Linked DNA regions of Styela clava. The protein of the gene in region 3 binds, or shares a complex with, the protein of the main gene of each other region. Links are inferred from orthologs where the notes say so. Each region holds a gene or a part of one and is shown on either strand. Other genes may lie near its edges.

Evidence for each region.
Region 1: ragulator complex protein LAMTOR1-like (region 3) and folliculin-like share a complex: the UniProt entries of both Homo sapiens proteins name them as parts of the lysosomal folliculin complex. The link is inferred for Styela clava from reciprocal best matches to the Homo sapiens genes LAMTOR1 and FLCN.
Region 2: ragulator complex protein LAMTOR1-like (region 3) and ragulator complex protein LAMTOR2-like share a complex: the UniProt entries of both Homo sapiens proteins name them as parts of the ragulator complex. The link is inferred for Styela clava from reciprocal best matches to the Homo sapiens genes LAMTOR1 and LAMTOR2.

What each region holds. Positions count from the first base shown.
Region 1 is NC_135254.1:8,920,265-8,931,736, forward strand, and holds folliculin-like, read right to left. Parts: upstream 4,138-11,472; 5' UTR 4,043-4,137; coding exon 2,564-4,042; 3' UTR 1,833-2,563; downstream 1-1,832. Other genes in the region: DNA damage-regulated autophagy modulator protein 2-like, read right to left, coding at 250-491, 860-1,014, 1,573-1,774; astacin-like, read right to left, coding at 6,068-6,180, 6,515-6,691, 6,817-6,874, 7,017-7,174, 7,820-7,955, 8,301-8,458, 8,789-8,953, 9,038-9,208 and 1 more; hatching enzyme 1.2-like, read left to right, coding at 10,112-10,121, 10,510-10,674, 11,044-11,204. UniProt on the Homo sapiens protein: Multi-functional protein, involved in both the cellular response to amino acid availability and in the regulation of glycolysis.
Region 2 is NC_135260.1:21,001,428-21,012,381, reverse strand, and holds ragulator complex protein LAMTOR2-like, read left to right. Parts: upstream 1-5,622; 5' UTR 5,623-6,594; coding exon 6,595-6,975; 3' UTR 6,976-9,075; downstream 9,076-10,954. Other genes in the region: glomulin-like, read left to right, coding at 9,166-10,954. UniProt on the Homo sapiens protein: As part of the Ragulator complex it is involved in amino acid sensing and activation of mTORC1, a signaling complex promoting cell growth in response to growth factors, energy levels, and amino acids.
Region 3 is NC_135255.1:23,607,203-23,618,526, reverse strand, and holds the start of ragulator complex protein LAMTOR1-like, read right to left. Parts: upstream 5,627-11,324; 5' UTR 5,548-5,626; coding exon 5,422-5,547; intron 3,875-5,421; coding exon 3,703-3,874; intron 1,497-3,702; coding exon 1,297-1,496; 3' UTR 1-1,296. UniProt on the Homo sapiens protein: Key component of the Ragulator complex, a multiprotein complex involved in amino acid sensing and activation of mTORC1, a signaling complex promoting cell growth in response to growth factors, energy levels, and amino acids.

The DNA.
Region 1 (11,472 bases), on a different chromosome or scaffold from region 3:
ATTCTTTTCATTACTACACCCATGTGTAAAACATAGATTTTGGCGGTGAGTGCAACGAGTTGAGATCAGACTTGCCATCCAAGGTGCTAATTATGTGACCTTGTCTGCTTACAAGACTTAACAATGTAGCTGGCCATTTTACAGGCTTCTATATTTTCAGAATAAATACAAAAAAAATGCTTTTTACCGATATAATTTGGAAGAGAGAAATGCATTTAAAACAATATTCAAAACGATAACTAATCATACCCATGATCTTCAGGTGCCCAATGGAATTTGACAGGTACTTGGGCAATACTTGACGCAATGAAAGTAGTTGTAATAAAGACAACACTCAGTATTGAAATTCCAAGACGAACATGTGCAACGACCAATCCATTAACTTCAGGATGCATTTTATAAGTTATATAGGTTTGCATAAACTCATATACAGTGCCACCTCCAAATGTAAGCAAAGCCCCGAATAGATGGACTCCTAAGACACTCGTTTCCTGAATAGTAAGAATAGATTAGCATGAAAGCAAATGTTCACAGATTTTTTAAAAGTCAACAAAGATTTTCCTATCCTGATAGATATGCTTTCTAGGTGTCGCTGACACAATGACTTTGGTAGTCTTTCGTGGCCCCTTGTCAATTGGGTGTTCCTGAAGTATGCGCACCAAGATGTCGCATAACCTGAACCCTAATCTGGTACACATTAACACATACTATGTTCAGGCTGTGCGCCATCTTGGTGTGCATACTTGAGGTCCGTCAATTGCAGCTGTTTAATTGTGTCATTACAATATTTCATGCACGACGAAACAAACATCTGAATCTAAATAATCAAATAAGAAGAGTTGAACTCTTATGTCGTTACCTGAAAATTCGCTACAAGAGACATTCCAAGACTTATTGCAATCCCGAAATACCAAGATATTTTATTCACCCGATAAACTTTCCGTACATCATGGTCTGAGAGTTTAATGAGGAAGGATTCAACCTGCTTGTAACGAACATACAGACAAGCCAGAGCTGTGATAAAAATAGAAAAGTCGTTTATTTAAATACTAATCAACTGGCAACATTGAAATAAAAATACTAAACATCATGACGACATTAAAAAGTCCTTGCAAAATCTTGCTGATATAATTTTTGGAAAACCCTGCGCCTTCCCCATGTCAGACATGATTGAAACAGATAGAATTCCTCAGCTTAATCACATGGTGAACCACGGCCAGGTTACTAGTCCATGTCAGGTAAGGGAATACCAAATCACCTACTCATTTCAGATGCATGGACTTGATTTCGGAGCATTTTTTCAATTTGTACTCATTTGTAACAACACATGTTTTACAGGCGCTCCCGTAGTATGTGAACCAAAATGGCAGACACCGGAACATAGCATGTGTACCAAGTTAGGCCATAATTTTATTCCAATTTTTCCTATTAGGAGTTTGTGGACTAGCCAAGTTACTCCCGTAGTATTTGTACCTGAAATTATGGCCTAACCGGGTACACATACTACCTTCCGGTGTCCGCCATCTTAGTTCACATACTAAGGAAGTACCCTTTTACCATTAGTAAACTCACCAAATGCAGCTGTAATATTCAACATCTGTCCAAATATTGAACTTTCTGGTCTTCTTGCACCAGTGTCGGATATGTATGGAAACCCTGGATCAACATCCCCACGAGAAACAGAGATTATATACGAAATGGTGAAGGTCAGGTATGTCCAGACAATAACGAATATTGGAAGAAAAGAAAGCCCACGTGTAAACCAGAAATCCATTATGTACGTGGTTCAGTAGAACAGTGAATAAAAATATTTTAATACTACATTGGAAGACCTAATAGGAGAATTTACAGAAACAAGAATATGATCACCAATATAATTTCAATACAACATTAACAAAACATATCAAAAAACAAGAAGTTGAACAGCACATTATTTTTCAATTTCAACGTCTGCATCAACAGAAATTGCAGAAAGTACAAATATTGGAAGTAAGGTTGTAACATGATATAACTCAATTTTCCACCTGACAAATTACATGAGATAAATTCTCGACAATATTATATTGGTAGAAATGTTATTGCATCCAATTATAATACTGTAAAAATCAAAATAGTATAACACAAATAGAGCAATAATGAAATGTATAAAGTATTAAAACAAAACAATTTTTAAAACATCCCTAGAATGATATTTTGAGACTAGCTCAACACAATTCAATTGATACTGAAAAAATCACAGATATCAGTAACTGAGGGCATGCCAGTTTTACACTTGACAACTTATAATAATGTTTAACATCGTACCCAGTGGTGGGAATCAGCCGGTTTGCACCGGTTCTATAGAACCGTCTCACGGAAATTTATGAGATCAGCAAACCGGTTAGCATTACTGGTTACTGTCAATGTTCTGTTTGTAACAGAATCGGCTGAAAAATATGATTTTTGTGAAGGAACCAGCTGACAAAAATTTGAATTACACCACTGACCGTACCTCAATGTATATGAATTTACATGATAGAAAGAGAAATACAGTTCATTTTATCTCTCATTCAGCCTGACACCACTAAGAACTGGTCAACCAAAACTTCATCATTTTTACATCATCATCGTTACAGAATAAACAGTTCTGTAATAAATCTGTTGTGTCATCTTTATTTCTTTTATCCGTCACAAATTTGCGAAGAATTTCAGTTTTATTGATCCATTCTTGTTTTAAACAAAGTAAACATTGCAAAACAACCTCATTGGAAAGATTCTCATTCGCTAGAGCAACCTCCAGTTTTTCAAGAAGGCTTGGACCCTTTTCTGGAATAACACAACTGCTGTTCCATTTAAATTCTATTCCATTCTTCCACAAGACTTCTACAATAACATAGTCTTTCGTTCTGACATTTTTGAAACTCAAAAGACAAGGCATTCCAATTAAATTTTTGTCCGTTGGTATTGTAGTTGTCCACTCTGCAATATTAGCACAGCCTTTTGGTAGGATATTTTTGAGGGTATGAATGGCTGATATAACAGCAGATTGCAATCCATGCCAGATTACTTGATTACCAATAAGCAAATGCCAAACTATAGCTCTGAATCGTGGAGGTTGTAAAACTTCCCTCATGTGGCGTAGCGAAAGAAATTTGAAACCCGACTCAATTGAAGAAGCAATAGTTTGGTCGTTCTCATCTAAAGATAATTTCTCTAAAGTGGGTGGATTATAAATGACATTTTCTTTCCAGCGTAGTTTACAAGCTCGTATTAACCATGTGAAAGATGAATGAAGATATGAATATAGTTTTTCATCGCCTGTTAGTTCAACAAGCGCTCTTGCATTAGAATGACTGCTCCGATTTGATCGAAAATTTTGCGGAGTTACGGTCTTCGATAGAGATGACTTTAGTCTCGTATTTCTCTGGGGACATTCAGCATGTTCATTGTTATACACTGATACAGCACATTTTTGAAAATATGCTATTATCTTACTGATGCATTCTACAAGAAAAGGCCAGGACTGGATCAAATATATACGATCCATCATAACAACGATTATGCTATATTGACGTTTAAAACCTCTTGCAAGACTGTCTTTGATTGGAAAAGTATAACTTAAGACGTAGCCTTCATTTTCATCACCATAAAAAATAGGTCCTTCCCTTCCAGGGCATACTTCGCTGCTGACACTCCTCACACAAGCTTGTCGAACTTTACCAAAAACATTTGGATTCTGCGGATGTTGAGAACTAACAAAAACTTCTTCAGTTTTTCCATCATAGCTTATGAATCCTTTATGTCCATCTGGTAAAGATCGACACGCCTGACAAAGCGAACTTTTATTAACAGAGTTTTGTCTCGAACAAGGTCTTGAAAAATCCGCAGACATCACTGAATCTGGATAACTGGTTCCAAGTGGAATTTCTTGCGAAGAGCTCACTTCTGGCAACGCATCCAGATTAGTTTCTTTTTGGGGGGGTAAGCCTCCTTTCTCTGTGCAGAACATCACGCTTGGACCATGTTGCTCACAGAAATGACAAAGGGCTATCACAGCGTTCATTGCAAGGAATATATATTTAAGCGAAACTCTTATTAGAAAATAGTATATCGATTTAGTCCTGTAAAAAATTCCAAATGTTTAAAGATTTAAATATAACAAATAAAACACTACTCATTGCACCATTTCATAGTATCAAAACTAGGATGGTGTAGCCAGTCTGCGGACGATTTCATTCAAACCGCTATAAAACAAAAACCAATATTTCTAACCCGTTAATTTTTCCACCGTAGGTGCATTGGCATTTATTCTACACGCTGAACTTCGAATTAACTTTCTACGACCAGGGGTTAAAGCTATACAAACCACCAAAGTACGACACTCTGAAGACGTATTTGCGACCGAACGACCAGTGTGCGATCACGGATTTCAAGCCTTGAACATTGTTTCTGCTGCGTCGAGACTAGGGCATACGCAGCCATGCGTGAAAAAATGGGCTTCTAATTGCATTTCTGACCGTCATATATTTTAAGAACACGGTTATTTCAAACAAAATTCTTCAAATTATAAACAAAGCACCGCATCACAGCAATCAAACAGACAAAAACACGGTGGTCGCAAATTAGTTGACAAAGATTTTATTGACGTATTGGAAATGCGCACCCCCCTACTCCCCCTCCTTTAAAGGTAGAAACGCGAAACTTTAAAGATGGTTAAAAGAAACACAACTCTACCCACCTGCCAAGTTTCATCTCTTTATCTTTTATATTTGTATGGATTTTCAAGCTTCTTTGAGGGAACAATGGGTAGTTGGCGACATGGTAAAATGGTCCGTTTTTTTTCTTCGGTCAGGTTTTCGGTCGTAACTTTTTTATTTGTGGCCGCATTTTAGTGTAATTTCGCAGAGCTACGAGGGATAAGTGGACGATAACGTGTGAGAAATATCGTCGCGGTTCGTTAATTTTTTCGGCATTAATTTAATCGATGAAGTTGATGGTCGCAGATAGGTCATGGCCGCAAAGTGGGTAAGCCACCCTATATGTTTTTTTCCAGAGGAATCTGATGGTGACGTTTTTTAGATTGCACTTCCATTTAGTATATTGCTCATTACGGTACCGATTTGTGCCAATATTGAGGCCCAGACTCGTAGAGGAGGGGTACCGGTATATTCTAGTTGTTATAATTCAGTAATTGATGTCTGTGAATGTGAGGGTTATTCTTGGAATCAAAAAACTGTGCCGTACCAAAATACTGGTATGGCTGTATGATGCTTAATTGGTTACCGGAATTGCGACCACTACACTCTACAGTCATTAACTTGCCACCCACCTTTCTACATAATCTCAAAAAACTGGCATATAACAGTATATATTAATGATAATACTGCTAGATGACATGCAATAATATGACAAATATTACGAATCGCCGGCATCGTGCTAAGCAATAGATATACGCTCCCCTCCGCACCTATGATTACTCTGCGTGATTACTCTCCACTCAGGACTCAGACACTGACACTGCTCCACCACCAAGTCCATGCTGCCGAAAAATAATTACCTAATCCCATACAGGTACCCGATACAGTGATATGGAATGGTAACCGGACGAGAGGCCGGGTAATCGACTTTCCTCTCCCCCGGGATAAATATGTAAATCCTATCCTGAACGTTAGCGAACACCGAGATAAACCAAGCGCTTTCACAGACTGCTGGACACAAGAAAATGATCGACAAAAGGGATTCCCCTAAATTGTCACAAGACTAGTCACGTGAAGTGGACTGACACAAAAACGCCATTGACCTGTTTTTCCGATTATAACACGAAACGCTTAACTTGAATCGAGGTCACACGATCACATGATTTTGAAGAGGATCATTTGATCTTTTTATGAGAGAGCTTTGTGATAGTTATGTATTTTATATACTGCTCTTCCGACGTAAAATAACAACATATCAAACGTCTCAGTATATCAAACTTCCATTTATTAAGCTGGCAGTTATAAAAGCGGGAGTGATATATACAAGAAGGTGACATTGACTATTTTGCAAGATATCCTTCCCATCACGTGATATACACCGATATCTATCTTCATGTACACTGGCCACAAGTTCTTTTGCAGATATTGCGGACAACGACAGTGGCTTTACAAAGTCGCTTGAGAGTTGCGCATGCATTTCCACTCAGATCGAAACACGCGAGTGCTGGAAAACAAGAAATAATATTTAGCAAATATCTTCGACTGATTTGAAGAAATATTCGAATTCGCGGTAGTTCCATTTTTTATATAACCGCATTTAGGGACTATTATGCGCAGAGTCTTATAAGGCGCACTGTCAATGAATGGCTTACAATCGGTTTCTATCCATACACAATATGCATCGGGCAACAAGGTACATCGATTTTTAAAACGGTACTTATTTTGAAAGTGGGCAGTAAATCACTACCGGCTTATAAAGCACATGATCGATTTTGAAGGGAAAAAAGTGCGCCTTATGATTAGTAATATACAATTTCACCAATATGAAGCCAACTTACTTCCTGACGCAGTGCAATATCCGCAACTTTTTTGACACTTCTTTCTCATCATTCTTATATATCCCGCAGAACTGCATCTTCCTGTTGCTGCCCAGTACTGGCATTCCGTCAGCTTATCCGCACATGTCGGGTTTGGGACTGTTGTTGGACTGACAGTAGTGGTAGTTGTGGTAATAGCTGTAGGTAAGAAACGTAAAATTTGTTAACACAATGGCGTAAAATGAATTCCAGTGTATTTTCGTAAGAAAAGAGTTCGTATAGTCAAATCCTATATTTTCTATTTTATCCTAGAAGTAGCCTACCTGAACACTTGTAAAGCAAGTTGATCTGATCAATGTCCGTCTGCACTAGTCCAGCTTCCTGAAAACGAAATAAAATAGTGTTATATATGTAGGCTACATTTAAGCATCGTTCTTTTCGAAATAAGACAGTTAGGGCGCAAGCAATTAGAATGGCATCACTATTAACTTCAAAGATGAATCGAAAGATATATAAAGTATACCTGGTATCCAACGAGATCAGTTCCATCGGGCATCGTGATAGTTTTCGAAGTGTCGTCTTTAGAGAAAGCTGTTCCAAAGTAGTGCATAATCGATGTATAATCGTATGGTGACCCGAGCGAATCAATTGTTGATATTTTTTCAAAGTTGCCCTCCTTACCTGAAAAATATAAAGTTGTTAAGTGAATTTGAATCAAATGTATTCAAATGTATTTGAATTGTATTTGAATTGTATTTGTATTTGAATTTGTATTTGAATTGTATTTGAATTGTATTCAATTGTATTTGAATCATTTGTATTCAAGTCAATATTTTTTTTTTAAAAAATCGCGTTTTGGGAATTTTTGTCAAGGGGGGAATTAGACGATTAATGATGTATTTTTGCGAAGTAAAAAACGTAATTCAACAGGATACCCTCAGAAAATAAATATGCTCCAGCTATAATTTCGTTACCATATCAGATGAAATTATGGATTTTTGCACGTGAGTAGAAACTTGAAGCCGATTGGATCTTTGATAAGTAATTTAGGAATAACAAACTTGCAAAATTTTTGGTATGGCCACTTCCCGAGGTATGTGAACCATGGTGACGGACACCGGAACGTATGTGTACCGGGTTATGGTTAGGCCAGGATTTTTTTCCAATTTTTCTTATTTTATTTCTATTACGAGTTCGGCGACTAGCCAAGTGACTCTCGTAGTATTTGTATCTGAAATTATGGCCTAAACTTAACCTGACACATACTACGTTCCGGTGTCCGCCATCTTTGTTCACATAATAAACTTATAAATAATTTGTAATTACCTGGTTCCACATTTGTTAAGATGATATTGACGTAAGCATCGCGATCCGGTCGTTGATGCTCGTGGAAGAAGCCTAGACTGTGCATTATTTCATGAATCGCAATACCTTTGGTCTGACAGCCGTCACCTAGAGAAATCTGAAAAAAAAAAATTTATATCAGTGGTTCAATTATTTTGTCAGTCAGAAGATGAGGTAGATATATTGATGAATTTCCAATATGATTTGAAAATACCGCAAGGGTTCAATTTCACTTCACACCCTGAAACTGTTGTCAACCAGCAGTAACCAAAGCCGAGTATGCTTTAATACTGAATAGACGGAGGTATTTGAAATTCATGTACGTCTCAGTTTTGAATTATTACCAGAGTGAAGCCGCAACCCGATTTGGGTTGTTTTTTACATTTCAGTGGTCGACTGCGACTTTGCGAAAATTAGTTTAATAAGATTTAAGAGCATATGTATTTTTGCTATTTAGTCGCACCCTATTTATCCCAGTGTTACGTCCGATCGGTGCAAAACAGCCACTATCAGCGTAAAACTGCATGTAGTCTGATTGTGAAGTCCTTGGAATAAATCGTAAGCAAGTTGAGGCTTCCAGGTCGACAATGCTTTGCTGAACGGCGGTTTGTCCTGCGCTGGCTGCAAGGTAAAATTATAAATACTTATTATTCAAATATAAATTGCACGCGTGGTAATTGTTGTTGAGAGAGAAAGTCCTTTTTATTCAGTTAAGCCCTTCGCTTTTAATGTTCAAGAGTGATTACAGATGTAAATCGTTTTATAAGTCTATTACTGGCACCATTTTATGCCATTTATTTGTGCTGCTTTGCTGTTTATCATAGACGAGGTCTGTGTGTAAACTGCTGTGACGATTTGCAGTCGTAAAGAAATGTTGAACTCTCATAGACAATATTGAAGTTTAATATTTGAAAAAAAATACTAAATTTTTAACTCTTGTGCAGTACTCACCGAACCCCGAAGCAAACTCGTAAGGAATGAGATATGTGGTCCCAGATGGAATGTTGTTCCAAAGCGGGAAACTAATGCTGGCGCCCTTCGATGGCCGGCCTGGTCTGAAGCCAGCGTCAATAAATCTGGCAACCGTTGGAGAGAGTATCATGTCATCCATACGAGCTGAAAATATTGAAATGTATTGTTACTTGTACATTCGTAAAACTGATTTATCGGTAAGACGATTTCTCCAAAAGAAGCACTTACTTGGGTTTGGGTTACAGGCGCAAGTGAGACATCCATAGCTATCTAACAGTCTTTCAATGCATTTCGTACCAGGACATTCTACAGCAACATTCTGCACTCCACATGTTTTACTTGGTGTCCGAGGAATCCGCACTGCTGATACGGCACACGCACCGACGATAAGAATAAATGCTGAAAAAGACGAGTAAGAACAACTTGGAAACAATCGATCATATAATATATATATAACAAAAAATACTTCATAAGCTTTTTGCAAGGTGATCATGTTTTTATTTTAAAAATTATAGGAGTAAAACATTAAGTTTCATTTACGAAAAATAGGACACAGGTTAACGATAATAGAAATGAAAGTTTTAAATTGACTTACCGAATTTCAACATTGTGCTCAAATATAACAAACTGTTGGCTCGACTTAAAATACAGTGAATGAAGTTCAGGACCCATCTCTGCACTTTTATACAGTTTTCGATAATTATTTGTAAATTGTTTCCAAAAACGCGTAATAAGATTTAATTGTTTATTAGTTTTTTTGTTATTATAATTTTCAATTCTAATTACGTTGATTATAAAGTAGTGATTGTTATTGCGGCTGTGATATCACACTTGGTCTGGTGCAAAAGTATAATTGTTCTGAAGAAATATAAACAATACCTGGCAAATATATCTTTCTAAAATGGTTGATCCCTCCCATTGTTAAGGAATCTGAATTTTGCTTCGGTAATTACTACCGCCATTTTCCATTAGATTAAATATTTGCCATGCCAAGTCCAAGATGAGTCGCGTCAATCAACAAGTGTCGAAACGTGGTCGTATATCAGACATGAAATTCTGAGAAGATTTGGCCAATATACGGATTTTAATTATTTGTATAACATTTGTTACAATCAAGTAATTTGCTAAAATAAACAGTGTCATGGATTCGTAATAATCCTTCGAATGCAATGAGAAACGATTTTCTTGCTATTTCAAAGAATCGGACTGAACTATTCAATGCAAGTTAGTGATTTTGAGAATAAGTTATAATCTGAATCAGAAATATTTATTTAAATATTTGTTCAAGGAAGGAATTCAACAATGAACAACAGTAAGTAGTTTGTTTTATGTTATCTCAAAGAATAACAAAATTTGCTTTTTTACGACTTATCCTTTTAAATAGTAAACTTAATGTATATATTTTCTATAGATTTAATCGAAGTTTGTTTTACTGTATTTTTGCTGGTATGGCCGTATCCAGTTTGTTTGTTGTTTTTAAAAGCACCTTAACTGTCTGGGGTATTGTACGACTTGAAGCATGGTTCCCAATAAGTAAAACAAAAGGAGAAGCAAGTAATCACTAGGGACTAAATGTTACAATTAAATTCATGATAGGCAGCAAATCATACCTTCCAGAAGAGTCATTCGAAGGACTTAATGCTTTGTTGTTTCAGTGAATAATTAGTTAAAAATCGAAAATGTTTAAAATTGATATTCAGATATACTCGTCACATCATTCCTGATTTGCTTGACGCTACGATATTCTAGCTGCTCAATTATCCGTCGCTCTGTTCAAGGAAGGGCGAGTGCGAGAGATGCAACGAAGTGGATGAATCTTCCTGATGGAGACAATTGGAACATTCCTTATGTGATGGAAGGAGTCAGTAAGTCAATCAATGATTCAGATCCATACTTTTATGGAATAATCCGAAAACTACATTTTTATCACCCATTCGCGTAATTGTGAAATATTTTTTATTTCCGATTTATAGTATTTGTATTGCGAAGTTTGGCCATGCACATCACATCGAAAAGGGTGTTATAAATTTTGCTATGCCGAGCACACTAGCATGAAGTCACGATTGATACCCTATTACCCTACCTCCAGAATATGTCTACTGATCGTAGCGATATTTCGTCAAACATGACCGGTACTCTCTTATGTAACTTGACTTGAACTTAACATTTCTCTGGGTTACTTTCAGGTAGCACTTTGATCATTTTATCATGCACAGCTTGACATTGTTGTTTAGATATAAATGCTCAAGTTGCGATAAGATATGCAATCAATGATTTTCATGAAACCACCTGTCTGAGATTTATTCCAAGAACAACGGAAAAGTATTTCGTGAAGTTTGTTGACGATCGTGGTTGCTACGCACAAATTGGACGACGGGTGGATAAACCGAATACGGTAAATTTTATATAAATAATCAATCTTGACAATGTTCTGTACACACGACCTATATATTTGAGTATTCGTAACATCCAACAAGCTATAATTAATCTGAATCCTTTTTATCGAATTCATAATCAAAATTTATCGAGTGCTTTTCATCCAGCAATATTCATAGAATCTTTTACCATAACAGATTTAACCCTTTGCTCTCAATTATTGTAAATAAAGTACAATTTTGTGCCAAAAATAATTGTAGTCTTGCGCAAGTTATATTCACCAGCTA
Region 2 (10,954 bases), on a different chromosome or scaffold from region 3:
AAAAGGAATTGTATGTCAACTAAATTTGCTGAACAATTGATAAAATATATATTTTTCTCTTTGTCACTCATTAATACTGTACGTCTATTAAACTTAGAATGAGTTGCAGAAGAAAAGTATAAAATACCAAAAAAACATTTTACGCCCTCTCGTGGATTCTTTTCAAAATTTCGAAAAATAATCGATTTTGGAAGGGGAATTTCTCGAAAACCGCCAATAAAGGCAGCACTACGACACATTCGGAAAAAAGTATATACCCTATAGATTTGATTTCACTATAACAAAACAGTGGTAGCATGTTTTGACTTGGCTATATATAATACCAAAATAGCGTGTATTCTCAGTTTTATAAACATTGTCGACGTAACAAATTCAAGATGGATTTGTATTTCAACTGAAGCTGCTGGAAAAATGATCAAATATATTTTTCTCTTTGTCACAAATGAATACTGTACGTTTATTAAACTAAGAATTAATTGGGAAAGTTTAAAATAAATAAAAAAAACATTTTACGCTCTCTATAATGGGTTCTTTTCTGAATTCCGAAAAATAATCGTTTTTGAAAGGGCGATTTCTCGAAAACCCCCAATAAAGGCAGCACTACGACACATTCGGAAAAACGCAAATACCTTTTAGATTCGACTTCACTATACTATAACAGTAGCAGCACGTTTTGACTTGGCCATTTATAATACCAAACAAAGCGTATATCTCAATTATTTGAATAGCGTAGATGTGCCCATATTTTAAAAAGGTTTGGTATTTCAAATAAACTCACCTAATATCGTAATATTCCGTTTTCTTACTTTTTCAAACACCGATACTGTGTGTTAATTAAACTTGGAATAAGATGCAAATTGTATGAAAAAGTTAAAAATGTCTTACAACCTATATATAATTTTTTCAATTTCCCAAGCATGCCGTTTTTGGAGTGACGATTTCTCGGACAATGGCCAATAAAGGCAGCAATACGACACTTTTGGAGAATAGCAGATACGTTAAAGATTCGATTTCACCAAACCAGAACAGTAGCAGCACGTTTTGATCTGACCATATTTAATACTAAACATAGCATATCATTTTCAATTTTATCAACTATGTATATGTAACATATTTAAAAACGGTAAAGTATTTCAACTAAATTTCATCAAACACTTTTCTCTCTTGGTCATACATCAAAACTGTACGTTCATTAAACTTGAAATTAGTGTGCAAATCTTAAGATGCCAAAAAATGATTTGACGCCCTCTAGTGGATCCTTTTCGGAATTTCGAAAAATTATCGTTTTTGAAAGGGCGATTTCTCAAAAACCGCCAATAAAGGCAGCACTACGACACATTCGGAGAAAAGCAGATACCTTATAGATTCGATTTTATTATGTCAGAACAGTAGCAGCACGTTTTGACTAGGCCATATATAATACCAAACATAGCGTATAATTTTCAATTTTATCAACTATGTAGATGTAACATATTTAAAAACGGTTAGGTATTTCAACTTAATTTACTGGATAATTCATCAAACACTTTTCTCTCTTGGTCATACATCAAAACTGTATGTTCATTAAACTTGGAATAAGACGGCGAATCCTAAAATAACAAAAAATGATTTGATGCCCTCTTGTGGATTATTTTAAGAATTTCGAAAAATTATCGTTTTTGAAATGGCGATTTCTCAAAAACCGCCAATAAAGGCAGCACTACGACACATTCGGAGTAAAGCAGATACCTTATAGATTTGATTTCATTATGTCAGAACAGTAGCAGCACGTTTTGACTTGGCCATATATAATACCAAACATAGCGTGTATTCGAACTTTTATGAACAATGCAGACGTAACATATTTAAAAACGGTTTGGTATTTCAACTAAATCTATGGAGTATCTGCTTTTCTTCGAATGTGTCGTAGTGCTGCCTTTATTGACGGTTTTGTGGAAATAGCCACTCCAAAAACGGTATGTTCGAGATATTAAACGAAATTACTATGGGGCGTAAGTCATTTTTTTGTTGTTTTATACAATTTGCAACTTATTCCAAGTTTAATGAACGATCATTATTGATGTACGTCCAAAAAAAAAGATGTTCGATGAATTATCCAGCAAATTTAGTTAAAATACAAAATCTTTTTACAATATGTTACGTGTACATTGTTTATAAAATTGTGAATACACGTTATATTTGGTATTATATATGGCCAAGTAAAAACGTGCTGCTATTGTTCTGACATAATGAAATGGAATCTATATAGTATTTTCTTTTCTCCGAATGTGTCGTAGTGATGCCTTTATTGGCGTATTTTGAGAAATCGCCTTTTTAAAAACGATATTTTTTCAAAACTTCAAAAAAAAAATCACAAGAGGGCGTCAAATCATTTTTTGTTATTTTAGGATTCGCCGTCTTATTCCAAGTTTAATGAACATACAGTTTTGATGTATGACCAAGAGAGAAAAGTGTTTGATGAATTATCCAGTAAATTAAGTTGAAATACCTAACCGTTTTTAAATATGTTACATCTACATAGTTGATGAAATTGAAAATTATACGCTATGTTTGGTATTATATATGGCCAAGTCAAAACGTGCTGCTACTGTTCTGATTTATTAAAATCGAATCTATAAGGTATCTGCTTCTCTCCAAATGTGTCGTAATGCTGCCTTTATTGGCGGTTTTCGAGAAATCGCTATTACAATAACGATAATTTTTTGAAATTTTGAAAATAATCCACAAGAGGACGTGAAATGCTTTTTGGTATTTTATACTTTCCGCAACTTATTCCAAGTTTAATGAATGTATAGTATATATGTATGTCCAAGAGAAAAAGATGTTTGATAAATTATCAAGGAAATTTATTTGAAATACCAAACCGTTTTTAAATATGTTACGTCTGCATTGTTTATAAAAGTTTGAATACACGCTATGTTTGGTATTATATATGGCCAAGTCAAAACGTGCTGCTACAGTTCTGACATAATGAAATCAAATCTATAAGGTATCTGCTTTACTCCGAATGTGTCGTAGTGCTGCCTTTATTGGCGGTTTTTGAGAAATCGCCCTTTCAAAAACGCTATTTTTTCAAAAACTTCGAAAAAAATCCACAAGAGGGCTTCAAATCATTTTTTGTTATTTTAGGATTCGCCGTCTTATTCCAAGTTTAATGAACATACAGTTTTGATGTATGACCAAGAGAGAAAAGTGTTTGATGAATTATCCAGTAAATTAAGTTGAAATACCTAACCGTTTTTAAATATGTTACATCTACATAGTTGATAAAATTGAAAATTATACGCTATGTTTGGTATTATATATGGCCAAGTCAAAACGTGCTGCTACTGTTCTGACATAATGAAATCAAATCTATAAGGTATCTGCTTTACTCCGAATGAGTCGTAGTGCTGCCTTTATTGGCGGTTTTTGAGAAATCGCCCTTTCAAAAACGATAATTTTTCGAAATTCCGAAAAGGATCCACAAGAGGGCGTCAAATCATTTTTGGCATTTTAAGATTTGCACACTAATTCCAAGTTTAATGAACGTACAGTTTTGTTGTATACCCAAGAGAAGAAAGTATTTGATGAATTTTCCAGTAAATTTAGTTGAAATACCAAACCGTTTTTAAATATGTAACATCTACATTTTTTAACAAAATTGAAAATATACGCTATGTTTGGAATTATATATGGCCAAGTCAAAACGTGCTGCTACTGTTCTGACATATTAAAATCGAATCTATAAGGTATCTGCTTTTCTCCAAATATGTCGTAATGCTGCCTTTATTGGCGGTTTTTGAGAAATCGCTATTTCAATTACGATAATTTTTTGAAATTTTGAAAAAAATCCACAAGAGGACGTAAAATGCTTTTTGGTATTTTATACTTTCCGCAACTTATTCCAAGTTTAATGAACGTATAGTATATATGTATGTCCAAGAGAAAAAGATGTTTGATAAATTATCTAGGAAATTTATTTGAAATACCAAACCGTTTTTAAATATGTTACGTCTGCATTGTTTATAAAAGTTTGAATACACGCTATGTTTGGTATTATATATGGTCAAGTCAAAACGTGCTGCTACTGTTCTGACATAATAAAATAAAATCTATTAGGTATCTGCTTTACTCCGAATGTGTCGTAGTGCTGCCTTTATTGGCGGTTTTTGAGAAATCGCCCTTTTCAAAAACGATAATTTTTCGAAATTCCGAAAAGAATCCACAAGAGGGCGTCAAATCATTTTTTTGGATTTTAACATTTGCACACTAATTCCAAGTTTAATGAACGTACAGTTTTGTTGTATACCCAAGAGAAGAAAGTATTTGATGAATTTTCCAGTAAATTTAGTTGAAATACCAAACCGTTTTTAAATATGTTACATCTACATAGTTAATAAAATTGAAAATTATATGCTATGTTTGGTATCATGTATTGCCAAGTTAAAACGTGCTGCTACTGTTCTGACATATTAAAATCAAATCTATAGGGTATCTGCTTTTCTTCGAATGTGTCGTAGTGCTGCCTTTATTGGCGGTTTTTGAGAAATCGCCCTTTCGAAAACGATAATTTTGTGAAATTTATCAAAGAATCCACAAGAGGGCATAAATTTTTTTTCAGTATTTCAGACTTTACACAACTTATTCTAAGTTTAATGAAGTGCATTATTGTTGTGTGACAAAGAGAAAAATATCTTCTTTGATGAACTATCCAGTAAATTTAGTTGAAATACAAAATCAGTTTCAAATTTGTTGTATAAACATTGTTTTAAAAATTGAAGAATATACGCTATTTTTAGTATTATATATGGTCAAGTCAAAACGTGCTGAGACTGTTCCGACATATTGAAATCGAATCTTTGAGGTTTCTACTTTTCACCAATGGTGTTGCAATGCTGCCTTTATTGGAGGTTTTCATGAAACGACCATGTTACACGACGAAAATTCAGTCATTTTTAAACAAAGAATTATAAAAAAAATTTGTGCACTGTAACAGTCGCTTTAGCTTGTTTACTATATATTAACAATACGAGGAGTGTAGTTAATGATTGTTTTGCTTTAATTGCTATTGTGAAACTAATCAAAATATACACTTTCTTATAAAAATCATTGGGAACATTTAATTTTACGCGTGGGTATTTTCTGCGATTCTGTCAGTCACAATTTCGTGTTTTGCTGCTAGCTTCACAGAGGTGAATGGTTTATGAATTTAATCAAATCAGAATCAATCAATCAAGTTTATTTTTTTCCAACCAGTAAAAAAGGAATAAATAACATAGGCACACAGTTTTACTGGAGAAGGGAAGTCGCGGGGAACCAAAGCTGGTTATCGAGGGGTGGAGGCTAACTCGCCATGGACCACTCGCGGGGTTAACGGGTATGCGGCATGCCTGCAACTGCACGAAGGCTCTTCTTGCAATGGGAGATGGAAAGGTGGTTTCACTTACAACTTCAATAGCGAGGATAAATATATTAAATTAAATGTGTTTGGTTAGAAAGATGTCTCAACTTATCATTTTCATCTAAGCATGCTAAATATATCACTATATTAATTGATTGTGTGAGCACTAAATCAACAGTGTACAATCGCAACTGCACAAAGGCTCTTCTTGTAATGGGAGATGGAAAGGTTTATCCTCGCTATTGAAGTTGTAAATGAAACAGCCACCTTTCCATCTCCCATTACAAGAAGAGCGTTCGTTCAGTTGTGGGCATACGGTATGGGATTAGTTAGCCAGTTATTTGTTTTTGGAAGCATGGACTTGATGGTGGAGGAAGCCGTACGGTACCGGTAACCGACCAGCGGTTACGTGAACCACCCTACGGCGGCGAGGAGTCCAGCAATCCTCTCGCACATGATCATCCCCGCATGGGATTCGAACCTGCGATCCCACGAAGGGTAATCGATAGGATACCGTACTGTAGGATTTACGGCCTCTCATCCGGTTACCGTACTACAGTACTAGGCTATTCCATGTCGGGTATCAAGGTATAGGATTAGTTACAATAGTTATTTGTTTTCGGAAGCATGGACTTGCTGGTCAGCTGGTGGAGGAAGCTGTAACCGATCAGTGGTTTGTGAACCACCTTATGGCTTATGGCTGCGAGGAGTCCAGCAATTTTCTCGCACATGCTGACATGACCATCCGTCCATTCTCATGTGGGATTTGAACCTGATTCGGGCTGTTTTACTTAAAACTTCAATAGTCTAATAGTGCTCTGAGAGACAGTCAACTCGCCATGTCTATTTTCTTTATATTTCAGTATTTGTTGATCGACATCGCGAGCTTGAGAGAGTCAACTCGCCATGTCTATTTTCTTTATATTCGTTGATCAACATGGCGAGCTCGAGAGAAAGAGAGCCAACTCGCCATGTCCATTTTCTTTATATTCGTTGATTGACATCGCGAGTTCGAGATAGAGATAGGGTGGCAATTTTTTACGCAAATGAAAATAAAATCAGAAAATATAACAATGTGTAGGTCATGGGCTTTTCCATATGCTTAGAACAGTGAAAAAGCTTGTTCATCTCTCACAGTCTCAACTGATGTGGGTATTTTCTGAGTTCAGAGTTAGGACAACCAAATAAATTTAATACATTAATACTGTAATATGTTGAATCCTCAAGATTTAACTCAAGTTTTGAGTCAAGCAAACACTGGGGGAGTACAAAGCACACTTCTTGTTAACAATGAAGGATCCTTAGTCGCATTTTCTGGATATGGAGATACAAATGTTAATGTGAAAGCTGCCATTACGAGTAGCATTTGGTCTGCATATGAGAAAAGTGGAAGTAATGCACTTAGTAATGAAAATCTACAATTTATGCTTTTGGACTGCGATGATGGTCGAGTTGTCATGACGAGAGTTGCAAGTTTGATTTTGTGTCTTTTTGCAGAAAAATCTGTCAATGTGGGAATGTTGAAAGCAAAAGCTGATGCATTGACAAAATATTTGAGTGAACCTCTCAAAAACCTTGCGTTAGTTACATAATGATGTACAGACATTATCCAGTTATCTGCAAGTATTTATTAATAACATTCTAACAACTATTTTCTATGTCTGCGAAATGAACAGAACAGTTTTAATTGTATTTTTTCTGTGAAATGTAGGGATACAAGTTTTATTCCTTATTTGATTCCTTCATTTATTTACCGTGAGCTAGGATCGATTGTCATTAGGTTTTTGATATAGCTACTTGGCCTACCATAAAACAGCCTAAATGCAGTTTCACAGAAGGGGTCCGCTAAATTAATATAACTGTATAATGATTTCAAATTTTTAGGTGGAACCTTGAACTTTTAATTATACAAATTTAACTTGAAAATTATTTATAGGGAGCATTAGAAAATTATATATGTAAAATAATAACCAAATGGTTATAAGATGGAGCCACTAAAATTTTTCACAACTCTGGCTCTCCAGCCCTGCTGAGACATCTGGTTTGAAATTTTGAAGTACATTTCTATGTGCTGTAACAGTGAAGTGTCAGATATCAGAAAATTTTCCAATGTTTATAACAATATTTTTTAAAACATTTAGCATTCTCTCTCTCTTCAGCCACTCTCCCTACTCGCTCTTTATAAACCCTTTAACTGATAACTCCTACTCCAGCCTTCTATAAAATTTCATGACTCAGACTCTCCAGCCCTGCTGAGACATCAGACAATTTGGTTACATCTGAAATACATTTCTATGTGCTGTTACAGTGAGGTGTCAAATATCAGAAAATTTTACAAAGTTTAGGACAATATTCTTTAAAACTTTTGGCATTCTATAGTTACTCTCCCTACTCACTGCGTTCAAAATATTTCGACGTAAAATTCTGTTGATAATATGAGATAGGGTATGAGCAAAGTGTAGGCCTTTATGTCAGTATGCATGACTCAATAATATTTTTTCTTTGCCACAATTTTCATTTGATGTGTTCAATTCTGCAATGTGCAATTCTCTTTTTTTTATATATATTTCTGTTCAACATTTTCTCATGAATAACTATGAACAAATGTAATTATCTGGTAAAAACAATTATTTAGTCAGATTTACACTTGCTTGATAGTAATAGAGAATGCTCATTATTGATATTGTTATAAAAGGTTAAATATTGTTCTATTATTGATTGAAATAGTCATTCTACATGAAGCGTTTCATTCAAAAGATAATAATTAATAAAATGTTTTAATTACCGGTATAAACATTTTATTACAAGAATTACTTTTAAATTTATGAACACAGATATCCTAATCTGTGAAATGAATTGCTAAAGTAGCTATTTTTTCTATACTGAATCTATACTCTGGTCATCATGATTTTATGTTACATTTATTTGGATATTTAATTAGGGGTCTCATGGTCACGACACATCTATGTGGCCTGCTGTATGATAAATTCACTACTTGTTGATGCAAAGATACCCGCAAGGTTTAATTATACAAGAAAAAATATGGGGTCTAGTGTAGTTTCGTACCCAAAGTACTTCTAGTGGGTGAAGCATAACAATTTGTGCATATGTCAATCCTAACCCCCACCTGACGGGGTCATCCAAAAATCACGTCACTACACCATCACAGTGACATAATAAGGGCCTTCAAACTATATGCACTGTCATCCAAGACACGCAAACGTTCACCCAAAATGGAACAGCTATTTCTCTCGTTTTGTCGGCGCAGCGATCCTGATACGAGAGAGATCGCTGCTGTTAGTGAGTTGTTTATCGTCGGCGCAGATGCTATTTGGGGCGATTGTAGGTATACTTTGACAAGCTCTATGACGTGTTTGTGACGTCGTAGTGACGCAATTTTTAGATGGCGTAGTCAGGTGGGGGTTAGGATTGTGCAAAAATTGCTGTGCTACACGAGACCCAAAATATGTAATGGTAGCTGCGGACTTGCAGTGTCAAGGATTTGTTTCCTTTAATTGGGAAAGAATAAACTTGTTGTTATTCCTGACCTATCCATTACTGATTATTTTCTTTCAATGATTACGTATACCCTAAATTTCCATATTGTGATAGCTTAATAATACTGATGATATATCTGGTTTTGTTTGCCATTTTCATTCTGAACTTTAATATTTTGCATCAATTTTTCTAGATGATTGCTTCTGATTAGATCTGTGGAATAACTTTTTGTAGGGTAGCCTACATAACTGTTCAATTTAAACTTAAACAAAGTCGCATTCACTATGTCTAGTTCTCAATTAACTCATGTCCATGATGGAGAGGATGTGGAAAATAGTAACAGTTTCCAGACTAAATTTCAAGGAGCTCTTGGGAATCCTGAAAAATTGTGGGATTATATCAACGAAAACAAAGAAGCAGAAACTGTTATCCGACCTGTTGCTTGGGAATTGATCGGTTCCACTATAAGTTTTCTCAGAGAAAATGCCATTTCTGAAAATCTGAAGACATATGAGAAATGTTTGGAGAAAATTGCTGGATTCGCAGTACCGAAAGATGTTTATCTGGGTATATTGGAACAATTTGACCCGAGTATTGAGTCGATGTATGTTGAACTTCTCATGCCTGCATTATCAAATGTTCTTGAGAAGCTTGCTTTAAATGACATCGATGCGTGTATCACTGTCCTTGAAACTACATTTTCAACTTTATCATATTATCTTGAAAGTCTAAATATTCCTAAGTATGAAGATTTTGATCCCACATTAAAACGAACAAAAAAATTCGAAGCTCAGAAAATTGAAAGTTTTATTTCTAAATATATTGATTTATTAAACCCAGTGGTGAGAGAAATATACTCTAAAAACAACCAGATATCTTCAAATATTCTTCAATTTGAAAGTTATATGTTTCAGTTTTTATGCAATTTGCTCATAATGCTGGGACAAGTTGACTTAGATGAGCCCTTACCAGATAAAGAAAATGACTCGATAAGAGAAAATGTAATTTTTCCGGGGACTTCAAAAATATGCTGTGACGTTATGCTTAAAATAACACATTTTCACTCACCAAATGTTCTGTGGCATATTGTGAATTGGTACAAGTTACAACCAGCTGAGGAGCGGTCAATGGAAGCTAAATTTGAAATTGTAAAACAAGTCGATCGAGCGAGAGCATGTTATGTTTTTTTATTGCTGTGTAGAGGTTTGCTTTATGATCAATTTCCTAAAGTTTATTCGAGTCAATGTCTTCTGGTATTTACATGCATATCACTAAACACTCTACTTTCTTGTGAAAACCAGTGTGTGGCATGGAAAGGTTTAGAAACTCTTTCATTCATTTTGAATCAAACAAGTGATAGCTCAATCTCATGTGGCGAAGTTGTCTATAATATAAAGATGTCTTATGGAAGCTTTCAAGGTCGTAGTCAATCACTAAATCCCATCCTTGATGTTTTTAAAAATCTCATTAGCATTGCTGTTATGCTACCTTCGAAAACTATCCGTTCAACTGCTATACAACATGTGACTAAACTACTGAATTTATTTCGTTGGGAGGATAAATATTCAATTTTAGTTCATCTGCTCAGAACAACAGATCACAATGGTGTGCAAGGAGTCTTGATTGGTTACTTAAAAGACCGTTTCAATGAAATTTTACAAGAAATTTCCCCGAAAAATTCTTTAATTTTTTGTGAAGCTCATAAAATGTCTACTCTAGGAGAGCTGATATTTTTATTACCTCAAGGAACAGAGACTGATTTACTTGAAGACTGTGACAGACTCATGCCTGCATTGAATTTGTTTCGTTTCCTTCTTATCAGAGATAAGACGAACAAAACAGGAATACTTGATCATTTGGATAAATTAGATACAGAGTTTCTAAAACCTTTGAGGAATGCTATTGACCTATCTCGAGCTCATTATGAAAATGAACTAAAGAAGTATGATCGGAGTTCTAAACGTCCTGATGATAATAAAACTGAATTTCTTGTTAATGGAACCCCATTACCTACTTTACCATACAAGGAGCAAAAGCGAACACTTGAGGCAGCATTGCATACTTTTGATATGA
Region 3 (11,324 bases):
TCGGCCGATGTTTGGACATTACCTTCTCCGAAGAAAAAGACGCGAATAAGCATTGTGTAAGAAAATAGTCTGGAAAAGAATAAACTGAACAGGATTATCGAAATTAATTCTTTCTTAATAGAAAGTTATTTTGAACAATATTTTTGTACATTACTAAGGACGGGGAAAAATCAGATAGCTTATTAATTGGCTGAAAAAGTATTGATGGAAAAACACTATTAGAAACAACAATATATATCTTGCGTTTATGGGAAAAATGAACATTTGCGAACAAAAATTAGAAATATAATTCTTATAACTGTATTTTACTATGAAAGTGTTTTATTTATTTAACTATAGTTGTCCCCGGTAAAACAATTCGATACTCTGAATTCTTAATTTCATCGAGTATTTTCTCTGACCTTTGACCCCTGATTCTTGACTTTTGGAATATTTTAGAACAGGGGTTCCAAGCTTTTTTCAGGACGACCCCAAAGACAACTTTCAAGTGTCCAGTGCGACCCCAGGTCAATACATATATTTTTCATGGAACTTAAGAGCTTCTTTCAATGGACTTTTGAGTTTGGTCATGTGGTGGTATTAAGTAAAACAATCTAAAACTAAACAATGATGTCACAATAAGCACCTACATTTTCTATAGCATAAGCATAGAGTGATGCCTATGGGCCTGTTTTACAGTAAGCCATGGTACAAACAGCTAAAATTAACATGGTTTGTCAAATCTTAGATGTTTTGTACATTCATCCTCTACCATACCTCAGCGACCCCATGACCTGTTTGCAACCCTACCTACTTATCACTCTGACCCAATTTGGGGTCGCGACCCCTGGTTTGGGAACCCTATTTTAGAATATTAAAGGAGGGGGGAGGGGGGGGATTCTGAAATTTATAATTGCTAAGTTAGACCTTGATAGCTAACTGGAAAACGCGAGTTTTAATAAAGAGTCTTATAAGGGTCTAAAACGTGTTCAAAGCTGCAAAAAATGCTTTTTGAGCAACATTTCATGTCTTAACCCCACCCGTCCCCCTGGCTTCAACCTTTTCTCAGATATTTGAGCTTGAATCCAAGTCAAAATGCTCCTTGCCCAGTGCCTTGTTTAGAATGAAACATCAAACACAAAAATAGGGGGACTTCTGGCTCTCAGTGGCTGTTTGCACAGGGTCTGATTTGGAGTAAAATGTCGAATAACACAAAACGGTGTTCCTTAGTTATCAGCTCCTCACACGGAGCTTTGTTTGATAAAAATACGGAAATATTTATGAAAAAACATATTTTTACAGTTGAGTTTTGATTTCTCATCGCTGAGCGAGATCAATTGTTAAGTCTTGTTTCCTTATGACACGTATGTCTCCCGCGGCAACAGCCAAACTCTCGCTGATTTCATTAATAAGCATGATGTCATCAAATGAAGGCATTGGACCGCCGAGTAACGTTGCAGGATTGTTGCAAGCGGACCGTAACGACGGCTTTCTCACCTCCAATCTCCCTCCAAGAGCTGAAAAAACATTTAAAGTTAGGTTACTTCACATTAGGGAACAAAGATATTCAAAACAAATCGAATGTTTCTATCTATTCAAAGTAATTATTTTGGTACTTCTGTACTGTAGTATGCAAACCAAGATGGTGGACGCCATGCATCAAACAGACAAAGATCAGTCTGTTTTTATTTTATCAATTTCGAAGCTAGAGCTAACTAGTAGGTCTGTTTTAGAATCTAAATCAACATAAATATTCAAAAAGACTTTTCCCATTGTTCCAAAGTACGGTAATTATTTTAAACGATAATTGTTGTTGTGTTTCTGGCAACAAGAGTTTTCCCTAGATGTCATTATGCTTTTCTGGCCAGTTTTGAATTGAAATTTGCATCAAAAAAAGGTTGTGCAGTCGAAGTTTGGTTTCTTTTATCAGTGTTAGAGCTGGAGTCAGATGTCATTTTTACAATTTGGTGTGTAAGTTTGGATTTGAAATGGTTTTGTTGGTATTGGGGTCTGGGTTGTGTCTTTCAGCTCCCTGAGTAGGGGGTAGTTGGCTCGGGTTCCAAATAGCGACTGTCAATAGAGCGACTACACTACATCGATTCATTTAAAACAGCGACTGTCACAACAGCGACATCACTCCCTTTATTATATCCAAGGCTATAGTGCAAAAGCACTCTTTCAGCCCCCCAATAACACCCCCCCCCCCCCAACCCACACACACACCTTCCATCCCCCATACCCTAACTTTGATTTGTCATTCCTGTACAAAAAGTCGCTATCATAACAGTGGCTGTTCTAATGCGGCTGCCATTATGACAGTCGCTCACTTGATTACGTCGCTATTATGAAGTCGCCATTATGACAGTCGCTGTTTTGACAGTCGCCATCCGGCCTGGATACAAGGGTAGTTGAGGTGAACCAAAATGTATTAAAACTCATCGAATTGAAAGTTGATGCATTTTTTGAAATTACTCAAATTACTACTAATTCAGAAGTTTGGAGTTTGACATGGTATTGGTACCACAGTGAGTCATTCAGACATTGTTGTCGCTATCAACATTATTCGAAGCAGTCATGCAAGAAATGCCAAAAGTTTCACACTGTCTTTTTCATCAGATAAAATAATCTTAGCATAGGTATATTTATTTTATTAACCTAATCCTCCCGGTTTGACGCATGCGCGAAATTTCAGACGTTTTGCAATGCTGTGTGTATACCATGAGGTCTGGAATGTTTGTTATGGTCTTGCTTGAAAGGAAATCTTATTCCCCACACAACGATATGAGAATGAACCTTATATGACATTTAGAAGTGATAAAATTTCGCTTACATATCACGCGTGTACTTCCCGCTGCGATATAAAAACGTCGCACAACAAGAAAATGATTCCATAAACCTTGGCGTTGCGCGCAAACCAATAACAAAAGCTAGTATGATAAGGTCTTATTTTGAAGGTCATTTTATATGCTACATAACATAGGAGAGTGGACATCTCACAACGTCAGGAAGTTATAAAAATATCGAGTCGTTTGATCGCAGCTGCCTCACCGAAAAAAAGTTAGGCGTTTTATCTCGCAAATTCTCCTTGTCTGACGATTATAAGCTTTTATGATTCATAATAAATGTTTTATTATGACTCACAAAAGCTTTCAACGCGATAAAGCACAAACAAACAACCGATCGATCTATCAAGCTTAGCCTGGCCTGATTCGATGTGGTGACTTCTCAAACGGAAAATTTCCAAAACGCTTGAACAACACGCGCTATGGAAAAGCGTTTAGAATCATATGAAAGAGAAAACCAATGTGCAGTCAACTGTATAGTCACATTTCAGCTTTACAATAGCGATAGACGTCCAACAGCTGATAGAATGAGAGAGTGTAAATATTTTTATTATTTTTTGACGTTACGAAAGACCTCTTGAAAGATGTGTTTTAGTTTACGGTCCTCCAGTGACATCTAGCGTATAGTACTCTAAAATACCTTTCCAATGGTATATAATTATTGTATATTGGGTAAATTTTGGGGGTCGTATGACATTAATAAAAATGTATTCAAAATTGTGCTCGATTGAGCGTCTGAAACAGGTCAATCAAATGATTTCTTCAAACAAATTTAATGTTATTAAATGATACACAGTTTGGGACCACAGCATTGAGCATTGTTTACACATAATGGCTATTATTCTTGTATGGAAGTACTCACTATCTCTATTCCAATTACCTGTTAATTTTCTATTATACAGCGTCACTCTGTTCATATATTCCACAGCGTCAATCCTCGAATCTATCGCTGTTACGTCAATAACGTCAGATGAATATTTTGTTAGAATTCCATTAAGTAACGTCTGTTCGTCCTGTTGGCTTCGTGATACGCTTCCAATAGGTGTATGCTCCTGTTAAATTTAGCCAAGTGGTTAGAGCAGGGTTAGGGAAAGGTTTTTGCCCATCTAGACTAGGCCAAAGGGGCCGTGAAAGTCATATTTTATGAACAATATTAATAGTGTTACAAAAACAAAAGTGAAAAACAATAAGCCTTGTGCCAAAACCTAATTTAATCACAATCTCAACAAATTCCTTGAGTTATTTTTAGTTGAACCTCAAAATTTGATTTTGATTTGGCTGTGAATGCATCAGGCGGGCTTGATTGAATTATCCAAAGGGCCGGATTTGGCCCATGAACCGTAGTTCGCCCACGTCAGGGTTAGTTTAACTTAATTTTAACCTAGCTAGAAATATTGGGTTCAAATCCAAGCCCAATATGTCACCCAGGGTTGAATGAATTGGGAAAAAAATGCTGATCTGGAAAGATCTCTAACCGACATGAAAAGAAGGAAGTCAGAGCTAGAGTTACAGTTTTAAATTTTTCAGAGTCATAGTATGACCGCTTTCCGAAAATGGACCTTTCAAGTCTTCAAACCGAATCCATTATCACGTTTTAGAGCATTAGCCCTATTAACACCGAACTACAAACTTTATAACTCTGTGAAACCCAGGTTCGAAATATTTGAGTGAACTGTGCAGTGTACTTTATACAGTACAGCACACTATCCAAATTCCAAGAATTTCCCTCCATTTGGCTCAATAAAACAAACACTCTATGTGTCTCACAAAAGAGGGACGTCTGGGACCACGTCTGATGCTTCATATCACGCCATGCTTGTCTAAATAATAATCTAGATCAGGGCTACTCAACTGGCGGACCACGGTCCGAATTCTGACCTTTCGAGTATTCGATTCGGACCGCGTCTGATTTTATTTTTATTTTGGATGATTGTCTCCATTTAACTTTGGATCTGTAAAAGGATGTGGAATATTTTGCGGTTACTCAGTTTTCCACAACTCGCGTTTCCTTAACTTTTTAACCGAAAAGATAGAGTCACTGAATTATAGTTAGGCGCAGTATGAAATACATTTTCTGGCCATACCGGACCCCAAGAATTTTCAAGTTTTGTATACGGACCTTTAGCAAAAATAGTTGAGTAGCCCTGATCTAGATTAATCCCGGCCGTCACATGACCAAAATTGCTGTTTTTTGCTAAAGACTTTTGAATGCTACGGTGAAATTTTTTTTCCTTCGGTAAATTTGATTATTTTTTCCTAATGAATTCAATGATGACGTTACTAGATTGCGCTTTTTTGTAATATTTTGCGCAACTTCATTATACTGTATTATTATCGATAATGAAGGACAACAATGTCCATATTATTATCGATAATGAAGGACAACAATGTCCAGACGTCTCCCAAAGGAGGAGTGTCTGATCATCTGTAAAATTGGTTTCTCTGAAACGGGACAATGTCACCCGATTTGTATAATGTGCCGTACTGTTATAGGGAGACTGGACCCCAGTAAATTCCGTACTAATCTTTGTGGTATAAGCACTCGGAGGGGTGAAGTTTGTGTAGATTGTATAATATGAAAATAACAAAAAGTCACTACCTCTGCGATGACTTGTGTATTGATTGGGGCTGTGTTCGCAATTGTACTATTCCCGTTTCCTAGCAACGATGTTCGCTCATCCGCTTCCTCCTCATTTTTCTTTAAACAACTCTCGAGGCAACCCATAATAGATCAGTAGATAGGATGCATTAATATTATTTATACTATGTGGATAACAGTGGAATACTGGAATAAAAAAATAGGGTTGCCACTTTGGTATGCAATCTCGATCCCACTTTCTTAACACTTTTATTAGTACTTGTGGTACTAAACCAGGGGTGGGCAACATACGGCCTGCAGGCCGCGACGAGATTTTGACTGGCCCGCCGACTGTATCCAACCACACTCTGTAATGTGGTTCGACGCATCACTCCTGAAAGTTGCCGATCGCTCTACTCTCACCGCACTGTCAGTGCGAGCGGGTGAAATAAACAATTGTCTTTCTTAAAAGTCGATAAGACAGCTTAACCATATGGCGAACCAGAGCCAGAGTTTTGGTTATCAAAATTTGGTTTTCTTAGATTTCGTAGTTAGAGTCGGAGTCAAATTTTTGACAGAAATTTAGAAAAATGTTTACTACACATTCTTCAAAGGCTATTGAGGGAAGCTTGCATACGCTAAAATTTTTGTGATAAAAATTAAATTTTCTTTGAGTTCATAGTTGGAGTCCTAATAAGAAGTAGGTACCCACTGTGAGTGCTAAAAACGCCAAACAAAAGTGATGTGAAAATATTTGCCTAAATAGGCTATTCACCAGAGTTTTTTTAGTAAAAGTCAGTCAGTCACGCACGGAGAACTACCGGTATACCCTATTAGGGCGTGGGACATTGAGGCACCAGGCTGCCAGGCAAGAATTTCATTCTGCATCAGACAGTCTTTCACCTTATGATTTTGTTTAGTGTTCAAGGAGTTACGATTAACTTGGATAGACAGAAAGACCTAAATATATCTCGACCCTGAGAGTTATATATATCCCCTCCACAGCCAGACAGAATTGATTTGAATAGATGACCAGGTACCACGGTACCGTAATTTTCCAACTACATATCAAAAGAATTCAGATAATTCGAATTCAGATAAAGCTATTAAGAATTGCTGAATTGCGTAACGTCCTGACGTCTGAACGTCGGTTTTGGCCTGCCCTTCTATTTTTAATGTAAAAAAGCATGAAATTGGAATTTGTTTTTTTCTGCTATTTGCTTGCTTTCCTGGCACCTATAAATCGGTACCGGTACCGCCTTATGCCGATTTTGTGAAATAAAATTCACGACTGCTGCCGATAGTGCGTTACGGTACAAACTACCGCTGCGCCTCCAAGGTACGGTTTTAAGTCATGACGGCACGTGACTACTGTAGTCTGAAAGAGCATTCTGCCTTTATAGGCCGCGAGCCGAGGCCATTTATCTTTCAGTTTCGTAGCGCACATCAGGTAACTACCTGAAAATGATTTTAAAATGTTCCTTAGAAATTTAGTAACAAATATTGCCTTGTTCCCACTTCCAAAAGTTGCACGTTTTACAGAAAAGACGCTTTTACTACACTAAATATGTGTTACCATCTGTCCTATTTTCTCTGCTTTTCCGGTATCATGGGCCAATGAACGCAGACTTCTGCACGACGTAACAGTCAAGTTAGTCAGCTGTAGGTGGATCCCCAGTGGTCGGATGAATATCAGATGTACTCAACTGCTCGCTTTTGCGTTGAGTAGTCTTTCCATAGTTTTTTTCAGTTACCGGTAATATTAGTCCAGTTATTCTAAGGAGGTGTTGAAAAGTATAGGTAAGATATTAAACACTTGTATATCCTTGCCATAAATAGCAATTTTAGTTGAGCACTAGCTCATAAGACGTTGTTAAATAGGTACGGTGCGGTAACTCCAAGGAAGGCTAGACCTAGAATAATATGTCACAAACAACGATATTTTCTGGCTTGCATGAAATGTTTATGATTAATTTAATGACTCTTCTTGACTATTCAGCAGACTTATACTACTATATAGGCCACAGCATATTTGGAAATAGAAATGAATGGCTGTTTCTGTAATGCACGGTTGTGTGAAAGAGAAGAAATCAATCAATTTTACTAATGTCGGTTGGTCTAAATCTAAATTCATAGAGTCGACAAGAACCTGGGAAGCAATGATAAGTTATGCCGGAGTGGAAAGAAAGGTAGCATTGGAAATGATTGAGAGGTGAGAAATGAAGTTGTAGACAAACAGTTGATGTTTCAAAATATAGTCTATAGTCCATACTCATACTGTCATAGGACATTTCAGACTGTGATATATCAAAATTTAGTGTAGATATAGTCTAGTAATGGTATGCAAACACTGCTGGACTGTAGAACATGCAATGAGCATATATACGCTCATTTAGTACATCAGATAAAATGCATTATGTATTCAAGGTATTAGTTAGTATTTAGGGGTATTTTTAAAATCATGCTGCTCCAAATATTATTTTCTTCCTTATTTTAGATACTGTACTACAAAAGAAAACGGCAATGTTCCACCAATCCGACCTAACGCAGGCTCTGATCCCTGTTGCTATCAGTGCTATAAAATGGATTAAACAAGAAGTCTTGAAGCTTAAAGGTATATGAGAATCATATTAGTTGCAAACGGCTTAGATGGGCTATTTATATTGAAATACTTAAGCACTTTTCTGCAATTGGAACTGCCCATCAAATTCAAGTTGGAGACTTCATTGAGATTTTCAATTCATTTTTTTCCCTCGACTATGAAGATCTTTTGAGGTTAACGAGGTATTAATAAATAAAGCTGAGGAATTTAAAGAGGATATGAAGAATGTAAATGATACCAGGGCACGTCTATTTAACACTGTCAAACATAAGGATTATACTCTCCACCCAACAATGATTCACTGAAGAAGCATGTGGCCCTCAAATCAGTTCTTGAGTTGGCAAACTGCAAAGAAAAATAGTCAAAATAATTTATGAAAGTGTGCCAAAATCAACTTAAATTGCACAGATTTTTGTTTTTGTATTGACTGCAGAAATCACAGTACACCTATAGAGGAAACGTCGATTTCTGAGATTGTGGATTTCGAAAACAATTCAGAAGAAAGTGAATTAGATATTACAGTTGATTTAATAAGTATCATACATTTGTTGTTTTTTTCGGACATTTGTTAGTGTCGTAGTCCTGTTTCTAGAAATATTATTGCCTTTGTTCAAATACATAACCACATAAACTAAAAAAAGATTAATTGTAAATTGTAATATTTCTGTTCACTATGTTATGTACATATTGTACATTCATTTAATTTTCTTGACTTTTGCGGTAAATTTCTAAGTGAGAAATAACTGATTTATTTGTGTTTTCGTGCTCACGATGTTAATTTGTGACTTCATTGCTTAAAAATAAATACGTTTGATACTTGATAGCTTCTATAAAATGGATGTAGCTTTTTATGCTGTTCTTGTTGTAAACTGCTTGTGGTTATTACATAAAATTTATTCTCAAATGTGAATCAGCGTTGTTGGTGTCGCTGCTTTCGAGGTCACTCCCGACTCCTGTCACACAATTAAAGTATTTTTTGTTGTTGGTTACATGTATGCCATATTTTTCGTAATCTACCTAATAAATTATGATTGACTGAGGAAGTCCGATTTTGGTCAGGCAAAACATTACAGGAATACATTTGTGTTAGTGTGCTGTAGGGCTCTCGAATTGTATAGTTCTTATGTATGCGTTGTAAACTTATGGTTATTGAATTTCCGGGAACCTCTTATATTCAATTTCGCACCAGGATTGTGGAACAAGCTGTAATGCGTTCATTATGTTCGTTTTCACACAAAACTGAAGAATTTATTTAGTTACCAGATGTGCGCTACGAAACTCATTTTCTGGGCGTTTTCATGGTTTCGTCTCACGGCCCATATCCGTGGTAAGGATCTACAAGTGTTTAATAATTTACTTATACATTTTTCAACAACGTCTTAGCATAACTTAACTGATAATAACTAAACAGGGCTATGGAAAGCCTGCCCAACTCAGCGCAAGGTCGAGCAGAAATAACTAATATTCATCCGCTCGCTAACAGCTGGTTTAATTCAATTGTTACGTCATGCAGAAGTCATTGTTCAGTGCCGAAAATGTAGAGAATATAGGACAGATCGTGACACATATTTCTTGTAGTAAAAGCATCTTTTCCGTAAAACGTGCAACTTTTGGAAGTGGGAACAAGGCAATATTTGTTACTAAATTTTTAAGGAACATTTTAAAATCATTTTCAGGTAGTTACCTGATGTGCGCTACGAAACTCACTTTCTAGGCGGTTTTCAGGGCCTCGGCTCGCGGCCTATTAGTTTTGCTGTCGTTTGGCGTGCGTTACATTATGATTAGTATAAGCGTAAGTATAAGTATATTTTGAAACCATAATAGGCATAAAAGGCGATAAAAGAATTGATAAAAACAAGCAAAAACTTATTACTGTATTAGGAGCCTGCCTGTGTTCGAAGACAATAGTCTGTCCTTACGGGCTTTTGCTTTTTTTATGTTTTCCACTTGACAGTTGAAGTCAAAACTTTCTATTTATTTCTTAGCGGTACTGAAAATCCTATTCTTTACTTTTGTGCGTGAACAAGAACCAGCATTTCCTATTAATACCGCGACAACAGGCTAAAAAAGAGATGCTTTTTTTTAAAACAACGTTGCATTATTGTTAGTTTTTAAAAGTACGGTGATTCAGATTCAGATAATTTATTTTCGTCGTGCAAGAAACATTATGAACAACACAAGCATAGTAAATCAAGGCAAAAGAAAACAACAGACACATAATGTTTCGACTGCAATTAACGAGGAGCCGCGAAAGACTATCAAGTCATCGTGTCAGCGACACCATTAAAGCTGAATGACGTCAAAAAAACGTCAAATGATTAAGGTTGAGTTATATATGATCAGGGCAAAAATTTGGAAAACGTAAATCGAATCGAGAGAGTAAGCCAAATGAGAAAAGTTTAAATAAAAAGTATGAATGGAATCAACAGAGTCGGGGAAGAAATGATTAATCTAGAATTAAGTTAGCTCAGGGGAAATTTAAAAAACGTAAATCGAATCGAGAGAGCAAGTCAAAAGAGGAAGGTTTAAAAAGAAATGTGAATGGAATCGAGAGAGAAATGTTTAAATGTGAACAAATATCCATCGTGTCGAGTAAAAGTCAGAAAAAAACGCGTTCACGATAAATCATTATGTCAGTCTCGCAGCGTCATGCTCGGGTGATCGCAATCACAATATGAAATTGGCAGGACGCTGCAGAAACTTAGCAACTGAAGGGGAATTCCCAGCAACCATAACAGGGGAAGCCGGGTTGGATTAAGTACCGGTACTGATACGGCAATATATAAATAAATAAATATATAAGTACAATTCAGACAGGAAAAACAGTTTTGATGGGAAAAGTTCATTCCACATGTACTTTGGGCAATGATGCAAACTCAGTGATAATGGTCGTGCTCTGTGAGGACAATAAAGAAAAATGGTGACAATGCCAATGGCATTAAGAGGTGAAAAAAGTCACGATCGTTTAGGTAAAATAGAGATCCTGGACCGAATGACCAGTTATAGAAAAATCGAGCCACACAAAAGGTGGGGGACATGGGTTGTATACGGTACACTACTATACTTATAAGGGATAAGTCAACAAAGTATCTGAATCTTCGTATTTGATTGTTGTTTGATAGATTGTTTGTAGGTAGAATAGAATCAAAGAGAATATAAAGGTTATATTCACTTTAAATAGGGTAGGATTTACGTATTTATCCCGGGAGAGAGAATACCGAAATGAAATAATCGAGATATTTATTATTTTGTCAACCAAAATACAAACAGTCATCAATACGAAAAAAGGTATTGTATGTGCTTCAAACTAGCGCATAGTTTA